Cricetulus griseus: one gene and its partners. The main gene of each other region encodes a partner of the protein of the gene in region 6 in a complex. Links are inferred from orthologs where the notes say so. Each region holds a gene or a part of one and is shown on either strand. Other genes may lie near its edges.

Region 1 (4,164 bases), on a different chromosome or scaffold from region 6:
TTCCCCTAAGACTGGAGTTTAAAAGGTTGTGAGCTGCCATGTAGGTACTGAGAATCAAACCTGGTCCTCTAGAAGAACAGTCAGTGCTCTCAACTGATGAGCTATCACCTCAGCCCCAACACTATTCTTTAATAAAGAAAGCACTTCTGGTTGTGCTAGACAATTTTTGTTTCCCAAGAAAGGTTCTCACTCTCTAGCCCAGGCTGGCCTTGAACCCAAGTTCAGTTCCCAGTACCCATACCCACCTGTAAGGCTAACTCCAGGGGATCTGACACCACGGGCCTCTAAAGGCACCTGAACTCAGGTGCACATATCCACACACAGGAGCACTAGTGCGCATATCCACACACACACACACACACACACACACACACACACACACACACACACACAATTAAAAAATTTTAATTAAACAAGTAGCTCAAACTGCAATCTGACCACCACAAATAGATGCCAATGACTATGAATAATTGTAGGACTCCAAGCCGGGTCCAAACATCTGCTCGCAGTCATCTACTGACCTTGGCTGCCCAGGGTGGAGGCAGCTGTGTGGTAAGTCTCACAGTCCACACAAAATGTTCCTTGTTTCTCTGCCCCAAGCATCTCCAATTTCCTGGTGAGGAGCTCCACCGTCTGCTGGACACTCTTGCCCTCAGCCACAGGCATCTGGGACACACTGAGAAACAGAACAGTCAGCAGTGTCCAGAGACAAACATGCTCTGGCTGAGCCACTCATTCCCAAATAGTTACCAGATCAACAGGACTAGGAGTTACTTTAGATAACACTAACTCTGATCCTGCCCCTTAAACTGAGAAAGGAAGAGGCCCACAGTCCAAGAGTTCCTTTAACAGGCAGAACACAGGTCTCAAGTGTCTCACACAGGGACATGGAACTTTCTACCACATCAGCATTCCCAAGTAAGGTACAAATACCAACATTAAGTGTTGATTCTAGGTAGCACACACTGCACACATTCAGTGTCACTGAGTTGTACAGTGGATGTGATTGATGGTTTACGTGCCAACATGACAGGACCTAGAAGCTTGGAGATAGGGTCTTACAATGCCGCCGAAGATGATCTGGAGTTCACTGAATTAGCCTGAGCTGATCTCACTCTTTTAGCAATCCTTCTGTCTCGGCCTCCCAGGTGCTGGAATTATAGGGGTATACTTGGCTGAGACCTATTTCTTAAACAAACTCCTGACCCTGTCTGTGAGATTCTTATTTAACTAAGGTGTGGATAAATCAGCTGAGTAGGACACCACACGTGCTCTCGCGCACGCGCACACACACCCAAACACACACACCCCCACACACCCCTACCTACCTCTTGACTATGGACATAATGTGACCAGCCACCTCATTCTATTTAAACTCAACTAGTGAGCCAAAATAAACCCTATCATAAGCTGCTTTTGTCAGGTATAGAGCCCCAGGAGGCTGGTGGATAATATTCTGGACATTGTGGACAGAACTTTCCCACTATCACAGAGTTCCATTTAAAGGCACTAAGAACAAAGAGAACGCATCCCTCGAGTGTATACGCCTAGAAAAAGAGACAATAGTCGTTTCAAGGACCAGTGAGCAATACATAAAACAGAAGAGTCACTAAACTGACACTGTGACAGAAACTCTGTGATTTTGAGAGAGTTGAACCGATACTAGTAGGAAGGGAAACCTTTTCTCTGTATAATGAACCCTAGGCAGGCAGGCATTGGTGGAGCACTCCTGTGATCCCAGGATGCAGGAGTCAGAGGCAGGTGATCGACAGCCCATAAAAACATATACAGAAATGTTTTATAGGGCCCAGTGACTCTGCTGTGATTTCTATTTTCACTGCTGACAGGTACTTTTTACGGTGTGATGAGGTTGAGATAAGGCTCCTGGTGTCAACTAATTTGCACGTATAGTAGTCACTAAAAACCCTGCAAGAGCCTGGGTTTCCTGAAGAACATCCCACACACACATTATACAGAACAGCTGGGAAGACACACACCACTACCAAGATTTTTTTTAACGTGCTGAAGCCTAGTACTTTGGAATTAATGCCCTGAAGAAAAGCACGGTGTCCAGACATTACCAATCACCTCTCTTTTTCCAAGTGAGATTTAAAACACGTTTCAGATAAAAAACAAAAAAAAACCCAAACCTGACTCAAACATGTAGGAAGTGATTCTTGGATAGTTAATGTGCCTGGAACCCCGACCTCCAAACCTCCAACAGCTCCTTTTCCTCTCCCTCTGACATTAGACCAAATTAAAGCCAGGCTATTATTACTGCAAGCAAAATGTAAAAGTCACTTTCTCCTAGAGCGCCCCCCTCTTTTTTATCGCTGCCTGCAAATAATTCTTAGTGCGAAAGCCTATTCCCAACTTTTAGGTCCTATTGGCGACAATACTATGGCCTGACGGACATGAAGAAGTACCAAGAAAAAGAAGGTACGACTCCTGACAGGTTCCTGGAATGAAGAGTTGGCTTTGCCAAAAGGATGCGCCTGGGAAGGAAGAAGCACCACACGGCGTCCCTTGCTGCAACACGACCCGAGGACATCTTTGTCAGCCCGCGAGGAACCGAGAGCTTCCGTCCCGATCCCCCTCCTGGGGCCTTCACGACCCCAAGCTCCGTCCCACAAGAGCCCCTGCAGTCCTACCAAGTCACTCCCATGGCGCAGGGTCAAAGGGGTGGCACTGCCAAACACTCGAAGTCAAGGGATCCAGAGGCCCCTGGAGGTAGAGCCGCCTAAAGCAGGATGCAGGCTCCGGAAATACGCAAAATCTGAGCGCCAGAGCGGTACACCCACAGAAGGGAGGCGTGCCCGGGCGCTCCAGCGATGAACGAATTCCGTCATCAGCCCGGCTCCGCCCCCAGGGCGCGCTTTGCTTTGACAGGACCTCTCAGGCTACATTCATGAATTCTGTCTGGAAAAGGTGACTTGGGACATCCACCCACTTCCGTACAATGAGATTACCTGAGAATCTGGGGAGTCCAGCTCCCGCCCCGGAGCTCCTGGAGAGATGGCGGTATATGAGGCACTTCCGGCCTCCGAACGCTGGGGGGCGCTGTGAACTCTCGGTGACCTCCCGAGCACCGGAACACAGGGCGCAGACACAGTCCTAGTTTTAAACCGGCTTCCCACGTGTGAGTAGCATCGGCAAGTTTTTCGAGAAAAATGCCCAAATTGAAGGTGGCCCGCGGGGCCCGGAATCAGGAGAAGCATGCACCTCTGGCCGAGCAGATTCTGGCTGGGAATGCAGTGCGCGCGGGGACCCGAGACAAGCGGCGGGGACGCGGGGTTGAAGAGGAGGAAGAGTATGTTGGACCCCGGCTGAGCAGACGCATTTTGCAGCAAGCCAGGCAACAGCAGGAGGAGCTCGAGACTGAACACGGGACTGCAGACCAGCCTGCAAAGCCACGGGAACGCGCCACGCGGCTGGGTGAGTGACACGGGCTGGAGTGGTGGCATGGGCCGGACTAGCTCAGTCCATCCGGATACGGGTTTGGAATTACAAAGAGGAGGCAGTTTTTCCTTCCCGCGTGGTCCTTCACTTCAACGCGTACCTTCTGGAACCTACCTCAGAGTTCCAACAGGAAGTAATCACTCACACCAAGTTCCAGTATTTATTCTCTGGGCTTGTGAAGTATGACTGTGTTTCCTGTGCAATGCTTTGAACTGTGTTAAGAGTTCAGGCAGTTCTAAGCCGGGCGGTGGTGGCACACACATTTAGTCCCAGCACTCGGGAGGCAGAGGCAGGCTGATCTCTGTGAGTTCGATCCACAGAGAAACACTGTCTTGAAACCCCCCCCCCCAATAAAAAAGAGTTTAGGCAGTTCTGATACCGAAATAAACAATGTACTCGTCCTTGCTTTTAGCACCGGAAGTCTACCCCAAGGCAGAGAATATTAAATAGAGTAACATATTCCAGCAATGAGCAGCGGTGCTCGCCTGTAATCCCAGCAGGTGAGAAGCTGAGGCAGAAGAAGGCCCTCGTGGACTACATAGTAAGGTCCAGATCAGCCTGATATACATGGTATACCTCTATCGATCGAGACAGTAAAAGAAAATGAATATATTCCTATTCAAAACAACAACAACAAACCCGCCATTAATTCAACAGGCCAGGCACCCCAGTTTTGTGCCCTGCCGACTAAGATATAAAAAACAT
Region 2 (3,500 bases), on a different chromosome or scaffold from region 6:
CATGGCCCAGGGCACAAAAGCCCTGGAAATAAATTCAAGTGTCTTGGTACAGCTATTCCTACCCATACCTTAGCAGCAGACTCTGCCCCACTGTGTGGACCCATGTATAACGATCCTTCCTAGGCCATTAACAACTGGCATTTACCAGAACCCTGCTTACCCCTCAAACACTTGTGCCATCTGGTCCTGGTTGAGGATGAGGCAGGCATGATAGTGTCGCAGGACAGCCACGATACATAAGCATAGGCTGGTTGTGTAGCTGCCCACCAGATCAGAAGATTTGAGAAGGAGCTCGGCCTCAACCACGCTCAGCTCATTCAGCAACTATCAGAGACATGGAGGTGAAACATAAGAGGCCCCTTTCATTGGCCATAACCCCACTTTCTGGAAGGAACTTGACATGGCCAAGCCTGAGCTCCTTCCTGCTGCAGCCACTTCAGCACAGAAGGGTCAGGTTACCATGTACCAGTGTCGCACTCTACTAGCAGTATCTCTAAGCAGTCTCCAGGACAGCATGCTATAAACTCCACAGGGGGAGGATGGTCTGTACCCAAAGCTCTAATCTGTCTCTTGGGCCTCCCCAGGGAGCACTTAAACCTCTATTCCAGCAGTCTTAGATCATGTTCCACTCCCACTGTGCTAGTCTTTCAGCCATCCAAATAGCCTAGGAAACTGGCTGGAGCCTCTACTCCTCTTCATGACCCTATAGAGCATGAATTCCTTCTTCCGCCCTTATCTGGCCCAACTTCCCCACCTGAATGGCAAAGTCGATGAGGCCACTGATGCTCAGTGAATATTCCATGAGGTCGAAGATGAACTGCACATGCTGCACCAGAGGCAAGTGGTATGACATGCCAAGGGCAAAGCTCGTGATCTGCTCCAGAACATTCCGGGAGACCTGATAAGGGCAGTAGGAGTGAGACAGGAATGGAAGGAAAGAAGACCTAGGGAAGCAGGAAAGGGTGATGGTGGAAGGGGATGAGACCAGCAGGCTTAGCCTGTTTAGTAGGGGGGGGGAAGATAAAACAAAAAGGAAAAGAGGAAAAGAGGCCAGAATGGGAAGGGGGCTGGCTTAGGCCCACACCTGAGCCGTGACCTGGTGTTGGTCATAATGAGAAAGGTGCTGGAACTTAGCAAAAATATCTTCAGCAGTGGGGAAGGCTTCCGGCCGGTTGCGGCGTCGCTTCTGCCCATCTTCCCCACCTGAGCGGACAGTTGAAAGCAATGAGTCAGGACAATGAAAGAAAACCAGTTGACTAGGGGCTGGGGTAGGGGTGTGGCGAACGGACTATGGTAGGGAGGGAGGAGGGGAAAAGGGAAGGAGGGAAGGAGAAGAGAAGGGAAGGGTGGTCAAGGAAGGGCTTGGGTAGGGATAAACGGGACAATGAAGCACAGGTTTAAAGGGCCACAGACTATGTGGACCTCTGAGGAATGTGTACAGGGAGGCGCTAGGTTAAGGGGGTAGGGGGAGGGCAGTAAGGGGCTTACTGTGAGGTACCTAAGAATGTCAGGTCTCCAGGATTCAGAGGCACAATAGGAGCAAGCTGGTCTGTAGAGGGGGGGAATGAGGGGGAAGTTTCAAAAGGACTAGAGCTCTCAGGAGACTCCAAGAGACAGGACATTGGGACATGACTGGGGAGTGCCCTACACTGGGCATGGGAAGACTGACTAGGGCATTCTTTGGGGAGACTTCTGTTTAAGGAGACTCAAACCCACCAGTTTCTGCTGTTCCCTTGCGGTTCAGAACCTTCAGGATATCCTTGGTAATCTTCTTGATGGCATGGCGGGCATCATCTCGCTGCTTCCCCACCCCAAACAGTACGACCAACCGCTGGTTGCACTCATGGCTGCATGACTCCTCCTGCATCCCGGCAGCACCATCAGATTCCATCATGGGTCTCCTGCCCTCCTCTTAAGAGCATGCTTTGTATCTCTCAAAGCTCCCACGTTCAAGCCCCTTCTCAAACACACCCACACCCTGGGGAACTGGTCTAGCCCCTCAGCAAACTCCTTGGATGGAAATCTGGGCTCAAAGCAGACTATCACAAATGTTGGACAACAGTACCTGTGGGATTGGAAAGTGTGTGGCATACTGCACATGTCGTGGCTGGTCATAAAGAACCCCAAGTGTCCCCTCCATCTTCTCTTTGGGTGGGGGTTTCACTTCCTTTTCGACATCTGGTTTCTCAGGGGATGGGCTTCCCTTCCCCTCACAAGGCATAGTAGGGGAGAACAACTAAGAGGGTGAAAGGGCAGAACATTCAGGAGAAGCAAAAGGAGGCATAAAGAAATTCCAAAAGGAGGCATAAGGGGAGAACCAAGGTGCTGGATTCTTCCATGCTTGGGATCTTACTGAGAAATCGGGCTTCTCCATGTCTTCAAAAAGCACACTGGAACTAGGGTCTATGTCCATAGATTCAGAGAGCCCTGGATCCTGCAGGCACACAACAAATCAAGAGCTGCCTTGGTCCTGGAAGTGCTTCCTCACTGTCCAGGAAAGTTCATTAAGAACTGGATCAAGGCCAGGCGTTGGTGGCGCACACCTTTAATCCCAGCACTCGGGAGGCAGAGACAGGCAGATCTCTGTGAGTTGGAGGCCAGCCTGGTCTCCAGAGCGAGTGCCAGGATAGGCTCCAAAGCTACACAGAGAAACCCTGTCTCGAAAAACCAAAAAAAAAAAAAAAAAAAAAAAAAAAAACACCAAAAAAAAAAAAAAAAACAACTGGATCAAGGGGGCATGAGGAAAGCCCAAGTTATGGATTCAAACCTTGTTCATTTACTTAACCAGTAGGCAAAGCCTCAGTTTCCATCACCTTTAAATGGAAAGCAGGAGAAGTACCTCACAAGCCTTTTCTGAAGATTAAGTGAAAAACTGACATGAGACTATTCTATAAATCATGAAGTTCTGAGAAAATACCATTATTCTTGGGTACAAGAGATGCTCAGAGGCTTCTAGAAGCTGTAAAAATGGGAACGTCAAAAGTAATAATTAAGAGCAATGAAAAGGACACACACCTCTAGCTTGCTACTGCTGCTGCCTTCAGTCTCCTTGCGCTCTGGGTCATCCGCAGGATCATCAAAGGGAGAGGGAGGCCGAGGACCAGGGGCTCCAAAAGCAAGATCTCCCCGAGAGATGAGAGTGCAGGTGTACATGTTGTGCGAGAAAACATCGTGTCGGATCAGTTCACAGAACAGCAGTACTAGATTAAAGAATTCCACTCGTTCACTCTCACTGCGGGGATCAGCTAGAAAGAGGGAATGAGGAGAGATAAGTTAGCAGAACACAAGACGGACAAAAGAGATAGGGACACATCTCAGTAATGGCGCTCTTAGACCAGGCAGAGACAGACACCCCTGAGGCAATAACAGGAAGAACAACAAAAGAAAACCCTGATAACGGGTGGTTGGTAGGTCTGGGAAAATGCCTCAGCAATTAAGAACATTCCCTGGCTGCTCTTCCAGAGGGCTGTTTTTCCAGAGGGTTTGATTCCTAGCACCCA
Region 3 (3,500 bases), on a different chromosome or scaffold from region 6:
ATGGGTAGTAAAATGCTGCCTAGTCTAGGTTTTCAAAATGTTTTTTTGTTTGCTTTGTTTTGTTTTGTTTTTTGAGAAGGACTAGGCAATCCAGAAATGTCTTTTCTCTCAGTTTTCGAGTATTGGTGCAAACCTAAGACAATACTATATAGGCCAAAGAAAACATGTCTGTATGGCAGCTCTACAAAAGCCGTGCTTTTTTCTCTCATATGATAAACATTGTAAAAGACCATATGTTGTAGTACTTGTGCATGTGACAAATTGGAGCGAAGCCCTGCTAGAATCAAGCACTTGGGTCTTTGCAATAATTTATTAAATAATTTGGTGATAAATGTTTTATTATTCCTCAGCAATGCTTAGTTGCCTATTTGAGAGGAGAAACAGACTAAAGGTGCCCAAGCATGCTCTTAGGTCTTGTATGGAGAGGTTGCTCTTCCAGAGAAGAGGGATCCCTCTGCATTTTGAACCAACTACACCCCTAGCCCTAAAGCACCAGAGAAACCATAGTTCATTTCCAGTAGTTCAGGCCATCATTACCAAGTGTCCAGCACAGCTTAGACATGTTAAGTGAGCTAAGTCCATTGGAACCATTTCATTTCAGATTTATAAGTTTATTTATAAATTGTTGATGACTAGAATGCCCTGTGTTTATGTAGACACATTTTTTTTTATTTTGTGCTTTTTTTCCTCTTCAGCCTTATACACAGCATTGCAACCAGAGTGATAAAACTTGCTCATGCAAAATCCAGTGTCGCCTTAGCCCCAGCTCTGGTGGAGACTTACAGTCGCTTACTGGTCTACATGGAAATAGAGTCTTTGGGCATCAAAGGATTTATCAGTAAGACAAGCTTCACTGCTGTTTCTGATGACTAACATGTTCATTAATTTAAGGAGTACTCTTTAGGTGCTCTCAGAGGATGCAGCAGGCATGAGGCCCACTGCTGAGGACAGACAGGGGACAGGGAGTAAAGCAAGCAACTGAGAGAGATGCACTGTGACAGACAGTGTGTGATAGAGAAGAAAGCAAAATGTGCGACAGGAGAGCTTCTTAATGTCTGTGGGGAAAGAAGCTTGTTTGGAAGTAGCATGGCAGGAAAACGACAGTAAGCTAGGTGCTCAGGTGGGCTGCTCAGCTTAACGTCCTCTCCCATGCAAATGAATTCTTAGAGGCCGAAGTGCTGGGTGAGGCTAGTGCTAAGGCTGGCTGGCAGTAGAGAAGGACTTTCGGACACTGCAGAAGACAGTGCTAGCTAGTGGTTAGCAGTTCTACATAATAGGTGCTCTCTAACTGGAAACATCTTTGTGATTCATTTCACCAATAGCCTGAATTTTAACCATAGTCACTCTTTTTCTCTTAGATGTGAATCCACCTTTCTTTGGATGGAAGAAAGAATGAACAAGGAAAGACGTTAGCTTTTTTGTTCTGGTTTGCTTTTTGGCTTTTTTTGAGACAGTATCTCCTACATAGTCCAGTACAAGCTGGCGTCTCACTTTTTATGTTGGTGAACCTGGCTCCGAACTCTTGATTCTTGCCTCTACCTCCCAAGTGCTAGGATTAAAGGTAGCTGCTACCACACCTTGCCTTTTTTTTTTTTTTAATTAAAAATTGAATCTGGCTAGGTAGTGGTGGCACATACATCCTGCCAGCACTTGGGAGGCAGAGGTAGGTGCATCTCTGAGTTCAAGGTCAGCCTGGTCTACATAGTGAGTTCTAGGACAGTCAGAGGTACACAGAGAAACCCTGTCTCAAAAACAAAAAAAACAAAAAAACAAAAGTGACTGTTATAATTGTGCTAATTGCAATGGTGTACACCTGTAGTCTCTGCTGAGGAGGTTAAAGCAGGAAAATTACTTGAGTGTAAGAGTTCACTGCCAGCCTAGGTAATGGAACCCTTGGGTTTAATTTCCAGCACTATAAAAAAGAGAGAAAGGAATGTCTCTCATACTCAAAATTCATAAATCTTGACTATGGAAATATTGTAAAAGATAACTGAGAAGCAAGGCAAGTTGGCAGTTTGATGGGCTTTTATTCTTTTGTTTGGTTTTGTTTTTTGTGTGTGGTTGCTTTCATTTAATTTTCCCATCTTAACTTGAGCCTGACTTATCAAACTCTAGAAAGGAAAGATAAATTCAATGTGTATGTAGGCTCTGATTTTTTCACCCCTACAAGTAGAACTGTGTATGTACTTGCGTGTATATGTTATTATAGTTACATTTTTGTATATATCCTGAGTGTGATATTCTTCAAATATCCAAGTTTGTCCCTTTTAGTAACTGGTGCCTGGAATTCTTCTTTCTCCAGGTCAGCTCTTGCCTACTGTCTTCAAGTCGAACGCCTGGGGCATTCTGCACACCCTTCTGGAGATGTTCAGCTACCGCATGCACCACATTCAGCCTCATTACAGGGTGCAGCTCCTCAGCCATCTCCACACGCTGGCTGCAGTTGCACAAACCAACCAGAACCAGCTCCATCTGTGGTGAGTGCTACAGACTGCCCTTCCTCGGGTTTGGTACGCTTGTGCTTTCAAGTGGGGGACTTAATCCCCCACCCTCTTTTTTTTCTTATTTGTTGTAAAATTAAAATTCTGTTTCTAAGATACTATAATTCTAACACAGTAGTGGAATCCAAGTTTTTAATAGAAGTTGTATTTAAATACACTTCAAGTCATGGTTAAAGTGTCATTTTAATTTTGATATAAATGAAAATATGTTTCAGATGGGGGAGGTAACACAGGGTCTTGTGTATTGTAAGGTGACCTTGAATTCATTTTTGTAGCCAAGGCAAGATTTAAATTCCTGATCCTCCTGCCAGTGCTTCCTAAATGCTGACCTTGCAAGTGTGTGCTACTTACCCAGTAAAAATACAATTACTGACGTGTTGTTTGTCTCGGAGGGTTTTCATCTAGTCTATAAGCTCTTTCTTGTCGCATGTGTAAAAGGTCAGCTACTTCTGATTGTAAAATTTAGCATCAAACAGGGAGGTTTTTTTATGTCAAAGAAAGGTAATGTATAATCTTTGTGTCCTTTCAGTTTAATAATTCTACAATTGGATCTAACTGCATAAATGTGAACTGTGCTTTCTTGCTGCTTTCAGTGTGGAGAGCACTGCGCTGAGGCTCATCACAGCTCTAGGGAGCTCGGAGGTCCAACCGCAGTTCACACGTTTCCTCAGTGATCCCAAAACGGTGCTGTCAGCAGAATCTGAAGAACTGAACCGAGCCTTGATCCTCACCTTAGCCAGAGCAACTCATGTCACAGGTAGAGACCATGATCCTGACCTTAGCCAGGGCAACCATGTCACAGGTAGAGACTGTGAGAGCCACATTAGCAGATGAAGTGTCTTGCTCCTCTCAGGCCACAGTGGCAGACTGTACTCAGGAGGTGCCCGTTCTGCCATCTCCATATGATCAGTTAATAATGGAAGCTCAGGGCACCACCATTCTAACTAAGGGTTTTGTTTCATAACTGCTTTCAAACTAATTTGAAATTCCCAAAGATTT
Region 4 (3,500 bases), on a different chromosome or scaffold from region 6:
TCAAGGCAGATTTCGGGGGAAATCAGCAATGTTAATCATGCAGGGGTTGTCTCCTCAAAGGAGGAAATAAAATACCTGCTTTCCATCCAGAAAGTAGGGGTGGATATTATTAACAACCTGTTGACCTTTTGCTATCTATAGAGGCAGACCTCACCCAAATAACCCAGGATGTCTATCCCAGACTTTCCCTCCCTAGACCTATATCTTTAGCTCTCAATTAATGGAACCCATCCTTAAGGGATATAACCTAAATTTTAAAAAGCTAAATTTCACTTAAGCATTTTTGACCTTTGCAATACAGTCACGTTTGGTTAGACAAGCTTTTAAGATGGTCTTGTAGGCTGGAGAGGTGGCTCAGAGGTTAAGAGCACTGGCTGCTCTTCCAGGGTCCTGAGTTCAGTTCCCAGCAATGACATGGTGGCTCACAACCATCTATAGTGGGATCTGATGCCCTCTTCTGGCACACAGTAACATGCAGATAAAGCACTCCTATCCATAAAATAAATAAATCTTGCTGGGTGGTAGTTGCAAATGCCTTTAATCCCAGCAGAGGCAGGCGGATCTCTGTGAGTTCAAGGTCAGCCTGGTCTACAAATCGAATTCTGGGCTGGAGAGATGGCTCAGGGGTTAAGAGCACTGACTGTTCTTACCAGAGGTCCTGAGTTTAATTCCCAGCAACCACATGGTGGCTCACAACCATCTGTAATGGGATCTGGTGCCCTCTTCTGGCCTGCACTATATATATGATAAATAAATAAATCTTAAAAAAAAAAAAAAATCGAATTCCAGGACAGCCAGGGCTGTTACACAGAGAAACCCTGTCTCAAAAAATCAAAATAAATAAATAGATAAAATAATTTTTGCTAATTCAAAATACCACCAAGTCCAGTGCTTCACAAGAGTCACCAGTGCTGCAGAAGTATTCAGTTCAGCCCATGTGTGACCTGTACTACTCGTTTTTTGTTTTTTTTTTTTTTAAAGGTTTTATTTATTTAAGAGTATACAACATTCTGCTTCCATGTATATCTGCACATCAGAAGAGGGCACCTTATAAGGGATGGTTGGAAGAGCAGTTGGTGCTCTTAACCTCTGAGCCATCTCTCCAGCCCAGACCTGTACTACTCTTACTACTAAGAAAGGAGCCAGAAAAATCAACAGGAGAAGAAAAAAGGAGCAGGAACTATGAAGTGCCTAGGATGTAACAGACATTTGGTGCTCTATAGGTTGTTTCACTTAACTCTTGAAACAATTCTTTATGAAATTATTATCCATCCCACAACTTTATAAGCTCAGAAAAATTACATAATTGTTTCTACAACTGTACAGAAAGCAATGTCTCAATTTGGTCTGCTTAACTCTAGCCCATCCCTGCGTGCCTTCTCCACCCCATGGGATGCCAGCTAACTTCTAGTGACAGCAGCACAGGTGCTTCTTAAGCTCTTGAGGTTTTACTGGATCCGGAAATGGAAGTCAGAACCAGTTACTTAAGACAACTAATATCAGCAGATTTACACCCAAATTTTCCCCTTTAAGCAAACAAAAATGATGTTTAGGTACTGATTAAAATGTTTTAAATGAATTAAGGGGGGAAAACTATCAAAAAAGGGACTGAGGATTAGCAATGTATAGGGGGAAAATTATCAAAAAAAGGGACTAAGGATCAGCAATGCTAATCTGTTAATAGTACTTATTACTGAAAGCTCACATTCAAGGATTAGTCTACCACTTGATAAAAACATAAATTACAATCAGGCGAAATGTATTTTAGGATGACCTAAATAGGCAAAAACAGTTTAACCAATAAAGGCACTCCAAATTTACATACCTAAAGCTATCATGAAAGGAGGATACAGCAGACAAAGATCCGTCCTGTAGGTATCATTCACTATTCTCCTGTGGAAATGTAAATCTTATCATTACTAACAGCACAACTACTTCATTGACCATGTAACTTCTCCCAGAGAGAGCCAGATTTCCATCTTTGTGCATTTACATCCCTGTTCTACTACCGAGAAGAGTCATAAAGATGAAAACACAGAGGCCAAACAATGGATGCCTGAATGTGACAACAAAGATTCATGTATCAGTGAGCATATTTTTGATGTTGGTACCTCACAACAAATTATATAAAATAAATTTTTCATATTTTTGAAAAATAAAAAATAAAATTAAGAAGCCATTATTTGAAATGGATTTGTATTGAATCCAATCAAAAAGTACTATTTTAAGAATAAATTCTGGGTGGTGGTGGTGCACGCCTTTAATCCCAGCACTCGGGAGGCAGAGGCTGGTGGATCTCTGGGAGTTCGAGGCCAGTCTGGTCTCCACAGTGAGTTCCAGGCCAGCCTCCAAAGCTACAGAGAAACTCTGTCTTTGTAAGAATAAATTCATTGTTAATTTTCATGTGAGGTCTTATTTTTCATATGAAACATTAACAGATATACTTATCAAACAGGTAATTCAAGATATATATGACTTTATAACCTTATACCACTATAGTTATTAAAATTTTTTTGTTTTTTACTTTTTGTTTTTTCGAGACAGGGTTTCTTGGTGGCTTTGGAGGCTGTCCTGGAACTAGCTCTTGTAGACCAGGTTGGTCTCTAACTCATAGAGATCTTCCTGCCTCTGCCTCCCGAGTGCTGGGATTAAAGGTGTGCGCCACCACCACACAGCCTAGTAATTAAAATTTAACAAGCAAATATTTGCTGAATATAAAATATCTTGGGGCACTTTAAAATACTAAACCACATATTTAGTTGTCAACCCTCCTGTCTAGCAACAGGTTTCATATGAGTAACTTCTGTTCTAGTTACCATGCAAGGGGAAGCAACACGTCTTCTTGGCCCATGTCCTGCACATACTGGAGCAAAGGTCTATAAGGATGATACACTATCAAGCAACAATCCTAGAAACAGTTTAAAAACATATATGTATAAGAGCAGATTTATTACAACATAAAACAATACCATTTCCAACTAATTGTATTTAAAATTAATTTCTCTATCTCATACTTGCTTCTTCCTTCTTATTCTTTTGCTCACATATGACCTGAGCTACTGTGATAGTGAAGGAAATGCTCTCTCTGGAATATACCTTGGTAAATCAGTAGGCAGCCAGTCAACATCCACTCTTGCCCTCAGAGACTCAAAGTGTCACACCTGCAACACACTGACACCTCTCACTAGACTATAAAGCCATAGTCCCAACGGAGGAGCAGAATTCTGCCAAAGACATAATCTGTCTTTAGTTCTGTGTGTGTGCACGCACACACAAATTGCACACAGTTTGCAGTGGTTTAACTTCCTGGCTTATTTGCTTGTAATCCTGATTATAGCTATAATAAAATTTTAAAAAATTTCCAGAGCCCAAGTAAGATATACAAATTATTTTACAGGCATCAGAAGGAAAAATAGGTGATAATGCTACTATAGTTCTATGATTTTGCCATCACATATCATTTAGATAAATTTAAAATTTATCTCCCTTCAGAACAATTC
Region 5 (3,685 bases), on a different chromosome or scaffold from region 6:
CTGAGCTGAAGATGTCTGCAAGGGTGGGATGTGGCCATGAAGAGCACTTGCAGTTGAAAGTCAGCTGCAGGCTCCCTGTGGGTCAGAGCTGCCCAACCAGGCCAACCTAGGCACCGTCCTCCACAGCCCTCCATACCACTGGCTTCTCAAAGCCCCCTTGACAATTTCCCTTCCCACAGCCTCACAGATCCATGTCCCTGGACCTGTAGAGTGTGGAGAACAGAGTCCTCATCCTCATCCCTCCAACAATCTTCTGGAACACACAGTGAACTCTGGGCCAGAGGGTGGAGTGTGACTAAAGAGCAAGCCATCCTGCCCTGCACAGCACAGTACAGGGCTTTCACAGACCTTTCCACTTTCAGTGGGGGCCTGTGAAAAACGAGCCTGGCCTTCCACACCTCCTCCCCCACCACAGGACTGTGCCCTTCCCTGGCCACAGCACAAGAGACTTGCAGGGAAAAGATACTGTCCCCAGTCATCCAGCAAAGCTACCAACAGCATTCAATAGCTACAAGGATCTTTATTTACAAACAAAGCAAGAGGGACTCCCCCTCCTGAGTTATAAAAATAAACTTATATATACACTGTGGCCCTATAAAGTCCCTCCTTGGAGTTCAGCTACTGCAAGAATTGGGGCAACCATCGGGACCACTCGCAGTCTTTGGGTACTGGTGGAAAGGACAGAAAACCACAGAAGGAACAGGCATAGTAAGTAGAGGGCAGGAGTGGGTGAGGGCCTCAGACTGGAGAAGCATCCTTGCACCACTGGATGGGGCAGCCTGGGCTCATCCTCACTCCCCCTGCTGGGATGCTGGGGCTGGGACCCCGTCCAGGCTACTCCAAGCTCCTCAGAGTGCAGCGATGGCTTTGGCAGCCACTTGCCGACCGAGGGGCAGGGTGAGGTCTGTGATGGCCAGCACTACCTTGGGGCTGGACATGGCAGACACCTTTACTAGTTCCGACACAGTGGCAAAGGGCATGAACTGCAGAATGCTGCCCCTGCTGTCCTGCTCCAGGCAGTCGACACACTCCTCCATGAACCACTGCACAAACTGGGTGTGGGGGCCGGCGGTGCGGGAGCCCAGGATGGAGGAAATGAGCAGGAACAGGTTGGCTGTGCAGAAGGGAACAAGACAGCAGAGCTCTAGAACAAGTCAGACGAGAAAGAAGGGGACCGAGGAGGGAAAGGAAGAGGCAGTGAGAGCTCACATAGGAAGGCCAGGGAGGGAAGGTGGGGCGGGGGATGGGGGATGGAGTAAAGGGAGGCTGTTAGCGGTGGTAAGGGAACAGGACAGCACATGGAAGCGGAACAGGATGTCAGGGCCCAGAGGATCCCTCTGGCAGGCGTGGCCCTGCCTCTGACGAGGAGGGGCCCGTGTAGCTCAGTCTGCAGGTAGGCACGGCTGGGAGGACTCACCCAGGACTCTGTTCAGAGGGTCCCTCATGTTGACTGTGTGGAGTTGGGAAGCCGAGAGGGAGCTGTTCATGGAACGGTCAGCTGTGGAGTGGCAGAGAGGGTGCTGCGTAAGCTCTGACTCTAGGGGAGCCTTACCTGTCCCCTGCCATCAGGGGAGTCTGGCACGTACGGGGCACAGAAGAGCCTGAATCTGGAGAGTAGATGAGTGGGAACAAGCCTCTGCGCACCAACCGAGGCTAACCCTGGCACTCTGTGTGGCTGAAGCCACCTGTCCCACTCAAAGCCCATTTTACAGACGTACAATCTGTTTGCTTAGAGCCTGGCTAAGGTCAGAGGTGGTCTGCCAGCAGCTTTCTTTCACACAAGGCTGTGGCTGTGGCCTGGTCCCTTATAAGGCTACAGAGAAAACTTCTAGGCTCAGAAGAGATCTCTGGAAACAGGAAACTTGGATGCCACACAAAAAAACTTTTGGCAGAAGGAAAGGATGACATGGGCTGCCCTCTGGATAGGAAGGCAGGAGTGCAGCCCCAGGTCGCAACCTGACAGGGCCTGTTCTCAGCCACAGGGCATGTCTCTGGGTTAGAAGGATGGCAGAGTGAGTGAGTGAATGGTACAAGCTGTACCAAGGTAGTGAACTCACTGGGTGTCTTGTCATCTTTCAACTGGTGACAAGAGAGGGATAACTGTGGGACTGGGAGGGCCCCTGGAGGAGAACTTCAGGTCCCCACCAGCAGGCAGCAGAGCATCCACTAGGGACAGACGTGGAAGCTGCTGCCACACCACACTGGCTGACAGCCATCAGCTGGGAGCCAAGGCAGGTCCTTAGGGACAAATGGTCCTAGCAAGCCCGTGACCTCCCAAGTGCTCACTGGGACTCGACAGAATGTTGGCATCATCCTCATTGGTGCTCAGGAGTCGCATCAGCTTCGAAGGCTGCATGTCTTCCACGGGGAAGAGGCTGATATAGTCCTGGGGGCAGGAGTCACTGTCACACACCCAACCTCCCAAGTCTCCAAGGACTGGAGAGGGCTGGAGGTGAGATCTGAGTGGAGAGGAGTGAGTTTCCTAGTCCCTGGCCAGCATCCCCAGTGGTGGCCCTTCCCACACTCCAATCTCTGCCCTAGTGGGCAGAAAGGACCCTCATCAAGGATACTCAGGGGCCACTCAAGCCACTCCCCCAGACCCTGACCAATCAAAAAGGCCCACACACAGGGGACCTCAACCCCACCCCCACCCTGGGAAGGCAGCTCTCTGCTCTAAGTGATCAGGAAGCATCTCATGAATAAACACACAACCAAGGCGGTGGCAGACCTACCTCAATGTCTTCCCTGTGTCTCTTCTTGTGGCGGGAAGCTGCCTGTCCCTTTTGAGAGGAATAAGAACTCAGGGCGCACCACACAGCTAGTCTGGTGAAGGGTTCCAAGAAAAAAGAATAGTTAAGAGAGTCCCAAAAGAGGCTATGTGTGCTCATGCTGAACAAGCCCCTCCCACCCACCACCACTCAGCGGGCCCCCCAACCACAGCCTGGCTTCCTGAGCTGGCACCAGGGCTGGGGTGCCTGAATCTGGGTGGTAGATTCTTGGGACTCAAGGGGAGCAGACACCAGGAAGGCTCTGGAGAGAATCCTACTTGGCTAGTGCAGTGCCAGGAGGGTCCATGAGGCTGTGCCACTTGGAGGAGTCAGTAAGCAGACCGGGCAGGATGTGGCCCAGCAAGACCAGGGTCACCTGCGGCAAGTCCAGGCAGAAGATGGAGTAGAGTAGCTGTACTGCCCTCAGTGTGTGTTCCTTGCGAGTCTCCTTCAGCAGCTCCTGGGCAGTGGGCAAGCAGCGGCTAAGGCACTGCACACCTGGGCCCTAGGGCTCTCATGCTCCAGCCACTCTACAGTCAAAGGTGCTATCCAACTCCAACCGAAGGTGCTTCTCTGAGGTGAGGTCCCTACCTCTGTCTCCCCCGGAGACCACCCAGCTTCCAGCAACCTCCCAAAGAAGCCTGGCCTACCCCAACTGAGGACACCCATGGCCCCAATCTACATAGCTGTCCACATCCACCCTGGCCCCAGTACCTTAATCAGGTTGTTGCAGAACCAGTAGACGCCGCCCATGCGCAGCAGGGTGTCTAGGATATGGATGGAGCGGCTGTCCACCCAGCCCCTCTCCAGCACCTTGGCAAAGATGTCTGTCAGTACCTCCTTGATGGGGCGCTTGGGAGGAAGCAGGTTCCAGTAGGGCATTGTGTCCACGCCCGTGGATGGAAACTTGATCTGTG
Region 6 (4,197 bases):
TTTTTAAAAATGATTTATTTAAAAAATTTTTAGACAGTCTCTCTGTCTGTTCCTCTCTCGTTGGATGCCTTGAAGCTCCCTATATAGACCAAGTTGGCCTTGAACTCAAAGATCACCTGTCTCTGCCTCCAGAGTTCTGGGACTGAAGGTGTGAACTCAGCCTGAAAGATTTAATTTTACCTCATTTGTGTGTATATGTGTTGTGATGTGTGAATGCATTCCACATATTATTTGATTGCTTGTGGAGCCCAGTAGAGGGTGTTGGGTTCCCTGGAGCTGGAGTTAGGGGTAATTGTGAGGCTCTCATGTAGGTTCTGGGTACCAAGCTGGAGTCCTCTGAAAGAACCAAGTGCCCTTAACCTCATAACTTTGGAGCCATCTCTCCAGTTCTCCTGGCCCTTTCTGAGGACTTCATGCTTACTAAGCATGTACTCTACCAACTGAGCCACATCCCCAGTCTTTCTACTCATACTTTTATGCCAACTTAGCTTTGGGGCCTAATCAACCACTATACTACTCTTCCATTCAAATTGTTTTTCTTTTCTTTTCTTTGTTTTTAGTTTTTTTTTCCGAGACAAGGCTCTTCGTGTAACAGCCCTGGCTGTCCTGGAGCTCATGCTGTAGACCAGGCTGGCCTCGAACCCACAACCTGTCCGTCTCTGCCTCCCAAGTACTGGGATTAGAGGCATGCACTACCTCTGCCCGGCTGACAGCTTATTCTTGCTGTCATTTTGGCTAACAACATTCTGAAAACCATCAAGTAGTTCTTAATATTTTCCCTAAGATATCTGAAGCAAGACTACAAAGTAATAAGATTGACACCAACAAAAAATACAAGCATAGCCCTTAAACCATGTATTTTGAATCTCAAAAAAAAAAAAAAAAAGCTACCTAAAAACCAGGCTTACTAATCTCCACTTCTCACACCATCCCTCCCTCCATTCCCACATATCCAGCATTTGCCTAGAACAGAAATCACTATTTGTCAACTGATTTACACAAACAAGTACAATTAGAACAGGTAATGCAAAAGATAAAGAAAGCTGGGCATGGTGGCACACACTTGGAGGCAGAGACAGGTGTATCTCTGTGAGTTTGAGATCCGTCAGATCTACGGTGAATTCCAGGCAAGCCAGAGCTACACAGTGAGACCCTGTCTCAAAATCAAAACAACTAAAATAAAGAAAACTGTTGGAAGACACCTATCACTAAAGTACAGTCAATTTCTTTATGCTTCAGTTTCTCAATTATAAAACACAGACAATACTTATCTAAAAGGGCTATAAGTATTACATATTGTTACACACTGATATGAAATTGAAATTATTTTGCTAATAGTTACTGGAATGAACTGAGGACCTTTTTTGAAGCAGGATCTCGTCACCTAGGCTGAGCTTTAATCCAGATCTTCCTGCCTTCACCTCCTAAGTGCTGGTGTGTAGTACCACAAATCCCTAAGACTAACACCTCTTGATTTTTAGGCCTTCAAACTTTTTCTTTCCACAACTTCTTACTCTCAGACTATCATACCCTCTGTAGAAGACACCCCCAATTCTCTCTTTTTATATTTATTTCTGTAGGCTCTGCCTCTAACATGTATCCTTTATCCATTCACTTCTCTACAGCTAAGATTTAGTCCAAACTATTATTTCTTTCCTGAACAATGGCTGGTAACATCCGATTATCTTACTTTCATTCCTCATGTTGCTGCTGAATATTTGAAAATCAATAAATTAGATCATTTTGCACCCATGTTGAAATGGCTTCAATTTGAAATTTAAACACTCTACATTGCCTTATAAAGGTCTTTGCCTATCTCCCATCACTACTGGATTTGTTTGTTTTACTGGAGTCCAATCTGTCTTCGACCCCTTAGATATTCTAAGCTTCCCCCCCACCCCCCGCCTCCTGATCGATCAAGTCTCTCGTATCTATAGGTATCTCTTTTCTATCCACCGATAACTTTATTTACTCTTGAATGCTATCTACTCAGAGAAGACCTGTGAAAACTCATGCATGGCAGGTAAGAGTCCTACCACTGAGCCATGCGCCCCCAATTTCCAAATAATTGTATAAATGAAAGAATTAATTCAATTTTAATATTTTCTTTGAACATGTCAATCTCCGAGTCCCTGACAAGGATGGCTACTTACTATACACCTAACAGACTTTAAAGTCTTAGCGTCTCCAAAATTGTTAAATCAGGTCTCCCGAGTTCCAAACAATGGCTCACGTTTTTATAGAGTCACAAACGGCGGTCAGAGAACCGGATCACAGAACTTTTCGCCAGTAGTCCCAGATAGTCACACCCACCCCAAACCCATCCCATGAAATCAAGCTCTCTCTTAGGGTTATGAATCGCCCAAGAGCTTCTGACACTTGAGTTGCCCGCTGGCCACGCGTCGCCCGTTGCTTCACGCCTCGCACAGCAGGCTGAAAGCCACACCCGTCACCTAATCAGTACCTGATTGGCTGCTTTTGACCCCACTACTCACCGGGCAATTCCCGCATAAGGTAGAAGGGGCCGCTTCCAGCAGCCGACTTGTCTGCGCCCGCAGGGGCCGAGGTCGCCGTCGGGGGCGGGGCCGTGCCTGGGCCACCTCCCGGAGGAGGCGGAGGTGGCGGGGGCGGCTTTCCAGGCCCGAAACCTAGGGCGCTTGGGGGTGGTGGGGGGTCAGCCTGAGCTCCAAACAGCGCGGTGAAATTCTCCATAGCACTCTCGGCTCCTGCATTACCCGGGATCTGGCGTTAATGACTTTCATTGGCCAGTACTTTCCCAGGGTACCACCCTCGTCCTCGAAGAGCTTCCGGCCATTGGATACACTAGGCCCCGCCTACCACCTTCCTGTAGTTACTTCCGTCGCTCTAAGAGACAGTTTGGGAAGTAGTTCGCAGTCTTACAGCCAATAAAATGACTCAGGTAGAAGAGCGACAACTCTATGGACCAATAGACTGTCTAACTCATTTTCTCATCTATCATAGCACCCAATAAGAGATCTACATCCGGGTCCGGAGGCGTTGCATCTGATATTTGGCCCAATAGAAGCCTCGCTGGTGGGGGGCAGCGGAGGGAAGGGCTGGGGGCCGAACGGAGCCTGCGAGAGAACCGGCAAGGAAGATGGCTGTCCTCGCGCCTCTGATTGCTCTGGTGTACTCGGTGCCGCGGCTTTCTCGATGGCTGGCTCGACCTTATTGCCTTCTGTCTGCCCTGCTCTCCGCTGCTTTCCTCCTCGTGAGGAAACTGCCGCCGATTTGCAACGGTCTCCCCACGCAGCGCGAAGATGGTAACCCGTGTGACTTTGACTGGGTGAGCGCCCCCTGCCTCAGCTCTCGTTGACCATCCCTGCCCCTGCAGGTGCATATGAAAGTGTGGGGGAGATTTGGGGATGTAACCATCTGACAGACTGAATGGAAATCCGCTGCTAGTCTTAACCTCCTTGTTTAAGATGGAGAGAGAGATCCCAGGGTTTCTCCACACATAAACAGGGTTCTGCAGTGATGCCAAGCTTCCTGGAGCGCCGGCGAGGAAGGCAGGCAAGCCAGTAGTAGAAACACCACTTTTAGTCATTTATTTGACAAATTGATCGCAGTGTAGCTATTTTATTTATTTATTTGGCAAATTGATCTCAGTGTTGTTGGGCGACTTTCCCAAGGTCACACAGCGTTCACAAAGTGCTATCTAATCTTGTTCAAAACCCTCTGATAGGCCGACTTAGATCGCTAACTCAACAAAATTACTTAGGTGGAAAAGCAACCGCACGACTACCCTGGCCACTGTAACTGCACATACTATCATCCTCAGGGAGGATAGAAAAACAGAGATTACAAAAACATGAGGAGGGGGGAGCCTCTCACCATTTTAGAAGCACTAATTTCAGAACAATTAACATTTGCTGTGAAGGTTGTGGAACATAGAGCTAATATTCCTTCCCTATCTAAATATTTATGTTAAAATAGCAGTGATCCTGGGGCTGGAGAGATAGCTCAGTGGTTAAGAGCACTAGCTGCTCTTCCAGAAGTCCTGAGTTCAATTTCCAGCAACCACATGATGGCTCACAACCATCTATAATGAGATCTGGTGCCCTCTTCTGGCCCACAGGGATAGATGCAGACAGAACACTGTATACATAGAAAACTTAAAAAAAAAAAAAAATTGCAGTGACCCAGACTTAAGTTATTACTATAACCTTGGGTATG
Region 7 (4,134 bases), on a different chromosome or scaffold from region 6:
CAGAGATCCGCCCGCCTCTGCCTCTGAGTGCTGGGGTAAGAGGCCGCGTCCCACTAATTCTACCTCTTTTCAAGCCAAAGTTCCCCCTCCCTGTATTTTGGGGCCGAAAACTGGTGAGTTGGTTGGAAGATAGTGTCCAGTATCAGCACTTCTCTCATTACTCTGAAGAAGGAATGCTGATTATTGGACCCTTGGAGCCTGAGGAAGGGCCTGCTCCCCACACAGCACATTGTGAATGTGGCACATAGCAAGAGCGCTGGGGACATTTATGCAAGGAATGCCTGCACGCACGCAGAGTGGGCGCAAAATGCTCCGGAAACATGCGTGCTTTAGGAGCTCAGCGCTCGGTAGGCAGCGAACCCCGAGCCCTGGCTTCGTAGTGCCAGGGTTCGAATCCCGCGTCCTCGGGCAAGCGCCTCGCTGCCTTTGTGTCTCTGAGTCCCACTCCTCCGCCCGGTGAGCAGCGGCCGGCGGGCGTGAGGTTTCGAGGACACTCCTCGGTACGGTCCGACAGGCCGGCCCAGCCCGGCCCACGCCGCGCCCCAGGCCCGAGCAGCTACCAGGGCTCCGGAGGCCGTGCCGAGAAGCCGCGGCCTCCTCGGCCGGCGACAGACGCGCGCCCGCGCCCAGGGCGGGGCGTCCACGCAGCCCCGCCGTCCCACGGCCGCCCGCACCTCTTTCTCTCTCTCCCTCCCTCCCTCCCTCTCTCGCTCGCTGGTCCCCGCTCCGAGAGGGCCGCGCTCGGCTCAGCAGCGCTCCCGCGAGCCGCACCGCCGCCGCCGCCGCCGCCGCCGCGGCCCCTCCCCGCCCCCCGCGCGGCCGGCGCCCGTCACGTGACGCGCCGCAGCCAATGGCGGGCCGAGCCGCGGTCGGCGGCCGCCATTGCTGTCAGAGCGAGCGAGCCCGGGAGGGAGGAGAAGCGCGGCCGACTGGGGAGGAGGGGGGGGTGGGGAGGAAGAGGAAGGAGGGGACGGCGCTCGCTGCCGGGGTCGCCCGCTGGCTTCGTCCGCACCCCCCCCTTCGCGGGCTCGCGCGGCAGCGGCGGCGGCGGCTCGGGGCGGCTGCGGGGCTCGCGTGCCTCACGCGCCGGCGCGGCGAGGGCGAGTCGCCCGCCGGCTGGAGATAAACAAGGCGGCCGACGAGGCGGCGAGGCGGAGGCGGAGGCGGCGGCCCTGCGCGACAGAGGCGGGCGCGTTGCCGCGCCGCGCCCCCCGCCGCCGCCGCCGCCGCCCTCGGGCTCCGCGCGCGGCCTCGCGCCCCGGTGCCCGCGAGCCGCCGCCCGGCCCGGCCCGCTCCGACATGCCCCGCTCTGGCGGCCGGGCTCGCGGAGGACCATGACCGCCGCGGCGAACTGGGTGGCGAACGGGGCGAGCCTGGAGGATTGTCACTCCAACCTCTTCTCGCTGGTGAGTGGCGGGGCGGGGGCCCGGGTGGGGGGCGCGACCTCCCCGCCGCGCAACTTTCTCCTCCCGGAGCCCCGGCGGCGTCGGCGAGCGCGGCGCCCGGCGTGGACGTACGTGTGGAAGTCGGGGCGCTGCGGACGCCGGGGCGCGCTCGGAGCGCCCACCTCCGTGGCAATCACACCCCCCTTCCTCTCCCCTTCCCCCTCTTTTTTCTTTTCTTTTCTTTTCTTTCTTTCTCTCTTCCTCTCCCTCCCTCTCTCTCTCTCTTTTTAACTCCTTCCCGAAATGTGGAAGGCTTAGAATTCTGCCTTGTGCAGCCGCCGGCGCCTGCGATCTGCAGGCTCGTCCTCTCTCCGGATCGGATCGGCCGCTCTCCCGCGTCTGCCTTCTGAATTTTCTTTTTTTAAATTCCACAATGACACCTGCGATTTCGACCGAAAACAGTTGATGGAAGGCGATTGTGTCAGGGAAAGGACTCTGGCAGCGGAAGCTCGCACGGTTGTAAACACGGACAGCCGCCAGCCTCTCGGGGCTTACTATGCTGGAGAGCGGGAGAGCCATTGCTCAGAGCCCACGGAAGGTGGAGGAAGCTCCTGCTCCTCGGCTCTCCTCCGCTGCCTTTAAAAACTGTTTTTTCTGCCCTAACAAGGAAAACACACACACACACACACACACACACACACACACACACACACACACACACGAGAGAGAGAGAGAGAGAGAGAGAGAGAGAGAGAGAGAGAGAGAGAGAGAGAGAGGAGAGCAACAAGCTGGGCGGTTTGATAACATCGCTTTTATCTGCCTTTGCCTCTCCTCTCTCCCGCTTTCGCCTCTCTGATAATTGACAACTTTTGCTTTGGAAGTGCATCGCCTGCCTTAATCTCGAAGCATTTAGGGTGTCAATTGTTCTCCTGGAAGCCTGGCACCCGACGAGGGCGGCTCGATTCATCGAAATTAAAAATGTATAGGGCTCCAGCAACTCTTTCCTGGCGGTGGCAGTGACATTTGGTGGTAAATGCCATCTTTGCTTTTTATTGGGTCGTATTACCTCGCTCTGAAAACATTCGCGTTGTTAAACCTGGTGCTTAGACTGATAATGGGAGTGCGTGGTCTTTAAATACGCGCTTTGTGCCTGAGTTACTGTATGTGGAGCTATGTGCCCGGGAGAGTACGAATTTGTTTAAATATTGAGCAAAGATTTGTAAACAGATGTAAGGCAATTATGTTTCAAGCGTAGAATATAATTGGAAAATTGGTTGAACGGCTTATTTAATTTAGCCTTAAAAACTCAACTTATTTTAAGTTGTGTGCCCAGTATTTGTTTTGGGGGGGGCTGGGGTACGCTCCCTTTTGGAGAGCATGCATTTATTGCAAATTATTTTCTGTAACCCCTGCTGTAGATAGGAGCTTTATTTCCTCTCAGTCCTTGTTTACACTGGATAAATAATTTAGTGTTGAAATTGTAATTAGTTACATTTAATTATGGGTGGCATAGATGCTTTTTCTCCCCTTGGAGACTAGTGGAGAAATACGAATTCTTGCCAACTTAGGAAGTGTCATTTTATTTTCATGCAGATAAAGAAATCAAGCATGATTTTGGCCTACAAAGACCTAGTGACATAGTACTCCTGCTTGCAGTCCTGTAACAGTGTAACAGCAGGCTGATTTCTTCTTACTCTGAATTGAGACTCAGTTAGAAGTTGGGGTTCTTCCTTCACCGCTGTGGTAATTTACCCCTTGATCTTTTGATGTGAGGATAAAACTACTTTTGCCCCCCCCCTTCCTCTGTCTGTCATTTAGTATTAGGTTCAGGAACCTTCATAGATCAGCAAATGTATTGATTAAGGGGTATTTAAAATGGTTTTGTTTGGCGGCTGGGTGACCACATTGACATACTTACAGGTAATTAAAATAACCAAGTCAACCCATATTAGTTTGGGAGAGCTCCCAAATTACCATACATCATGCTGACTAATAATGGCTTGTGTGCATGTGGCTAATTTATAGACAATGAATTGTGTGGACAAATGAAAGACTGTTGGTGCACAGCTGAACTGTGAGGTCATTCCTTATCTCTTGAGCTTCAAGGGGGTGATAGTGTAGAGATGAGATGTTTGAAATTCCTTGTTGAAGATTCTGGACTTTGATTTTTACTGGCCTAAGGATGCATTCTGGGTATTTCTCCCCTAAACATCTTTAAACCAAAGAGTTGACTTTTGAATATAATTTAAAGTATAATTAACTTTTTGGGTAATCCCTTTGAAATGCAGACATGCTTAGATTGGTTTAAAAATATAGAATGTTTATATTTCATGGTACCTAGGGATGTATAAATGCTGTTTAATTGTTCAAAATGGCTTATTTATTTTTATTTTATGTGCATTGATAGATGTTTTGCCTGCATGTATGTCTCTGTGAGGGTGTCAGATTCTTTGGAATTGGAATTACAGATGGTTGTAAGCTGCCATGTGGTTGCTGTGAATTGAACCCCGGTCCTCTGGAAATGCAGCTAGTGCTTTTAACTCTATCTAAAATTTATTTGAAGAAAAAAAAATCAAACTTCAGTCTTTTCTTCTGATTCCAAATTGAGAATTTTTCCTGAAGATCATATACAGACAGCAGCAATCTATCATGTTAAGAATACATTGCCCTAACAACATAGTTGATTCCAAAGGGTTGGCAGTGATCACCTTTTCAAAGTCATGTGTATGTCTGAAGAACTATAGGTACT

What was found.
Region 1: Med19 (region 6) and mediator of RNA polymerase II transcription subunit 20 share a complex: the UniProt entries of both Homo sapiens proteins name them as parts of the mediator complex. The link is inferred for Cricetulus griseus from reciprocal best matches to the Homo sapiens genes MED19 and MED20.
Region 2: Med19 (region 6) and Med12 share a complex: the UniProt entries of both Homo sapiens proteins name them as parts of the mediator complex. The link is inferred for Cricetulus griseus from reciprocal best matches to the Homo sapiens genes MED19 and MED12.
Region 3: Med19 (region 6) and Med23 share a complex: the UniProt entries of both Homo sapiens proteins name them as parts of the mediator complex. The link is inferred for Cricetulus griseus from reciprocal best matches to the Homo sapiens genes MED19 and MED23.
Region 4: Med19 (region 6) and Ccnc share a complex: the UniProt entries of both Homo sapiens proteins name them as parts of the mediator complex. The link is inferred for Cricetulus griseus from reciprocal best matches to the Homo sapiens genes MED19 and CCNC.
Region 5: Med19 (region 6) and Med24 share a complex: the UniProt entries of both Homo sapiens proteins name them as parts of the mediator complex. The link is inferred for Cricetulus griseus from reciprocal best matches to the Homo sapiens genes MED19 and MED24.
Region 7: Med19 (region 6) and Med13l share a complex: the UniProt entries of both Homo sapiens proteins name them as parts of the mediator complex. The link is inferred for Cricetulus griseus from reciprocal best matches to the Homo sapiens genes MED19 and MED13L.

The regions. Positions count from the first base shown.
Region 1 is NW_023276806.1:255,578,091-255,582,254, forward strand, and holds the start of mediator of RNA polymerase II transcription subunit 20, read right to left. Parts: upstream 2,801-4,164; 5' UTR 2,666-2,800; coding exon 2,652-2,665; intron 677-2,651; coding exon 522-676; intron 1-521. Other genes in the region: bystin, read left to right, coding at 3,171-3,435. UniProt on the Homo sapiens protein: Component of the Mediator complex, a coactivator involved in the regulated transcription of nearly all RNA polymerase II-dependent genes.
Region 2 is NC_048604.1:68,969,516-68,973,015, forward strand, and holds part of Med12 (mediator of RNA polymerase II transcription subunit 12), read right to left. Parts: intron 3,246-3,500; coding exon 3,016-3,245; intron 2,435-3,015; coding exon 2,354-2,434; intron 2,237-2,353; coding exon 2,066-2,236; intron 1,862-2,065; coding exon 1,717-1,861; intron 1,550-1,716; coding exon 1,499-1,549; intron 1,204-1,498; coding exon 1,085-1,203; intron 899-1,084; coding exon 755-898; intron 325-754; coding exon 161-324; intron 1-160. UniProt on the Homo sapiens protein: Component of the Mediator complex, a coactivator involved in the regulated transcription of nearly all RNA polymerase II-dependent genes.
Region 3 is NC_048595.1:244,070,302-244,073,801, forward strand, and holds part of Med23 (mediator of RNA polymerase II transcription subunit 23), read left to right. Parts: intron 1-695; coding exon 696-838; intron 839-2,302; coding exon 2,303-2,477; intron 2,478-3,094; coding exon 3,095-3,258; intron 3,259-3,500. UniProt on the Homo sapiens protein: Required for transcriptional activation subsequent to the assembly of the pre-initiation complex. Component of the Mediator complex, a coactivator involved in the regulated transcription of nearly all RNA polymerase II-dependent genes.
Region 4 is NC_048595.1:119,710,543-119,714,042, forward strand, and holds part of Ccnc (cyclin-C), read right to left. Parts: intron 2,909-3,500; coding exon 2,817-2,908; intron 1,894-2,816; coding exon 1,826-1,893; intron 1-1,825. UniProt on the Homo sapiens protein: Component of the Mediator complex, a coactivator involved in regulated gene transcription of nearly all RNA polymerase II-dependent genes.
Region 5 is NC_048600.1:111,788,178-111,791,862, forward strand, and holds the end of Med24 (mediator of RNA polymerase II transcription subunit 24), read right to left. Parts: coding exon 3,483-3,685; intron 3,229-3,482; coding exon 3,047-3,228; intron 2,824-3,046; coding exon 2,733-2,823; intron 2,387-2,732; coding exon 2,287-2,386; intron 1,499-2,286; coding exon 1,418-1,498; intron 1,115-1,417; coding exon 849-1,114; 3' UTR 501-848; downstream 1-500. UniProt on the Homo sapiens protein: Component of the Mediator complex, a coactivator involved in the regulated transcription of nearly all RNA polymerase II-dependent genes.
Region 6 is NC_048599.1:90,852,325-90,856,521, forward strand, and holds the start of Med19 (mediator of RNA polymerase II transcription subunit 19), read right to left. Parts: upstream 2,801-4,197; 5' UTR 2,713-2,800; coding exon 2,496-2,712; intron 1-2,495. UniProt on the Homo sapiens protein: Component of the Mediator complex, a coactivator involved in the regulated transcription of nearly all RNA polymerase II-dependent genes.
Region 7 is NC_048597.1:98,444,271-98,448,404, forward strand, and holds the start of Med13l (mediator of RNA polymerase II transcription subunit 13-like), read left to right. Parts: upstream 1-1,334; coding exon 1,335-1,406; intron 1,407-4,134. UniProt on the Homo sapiens protein: Component of the Mediator complex, a coactivator involved in the regulated transcription of nearly all RNA polymerase II-dependent genes.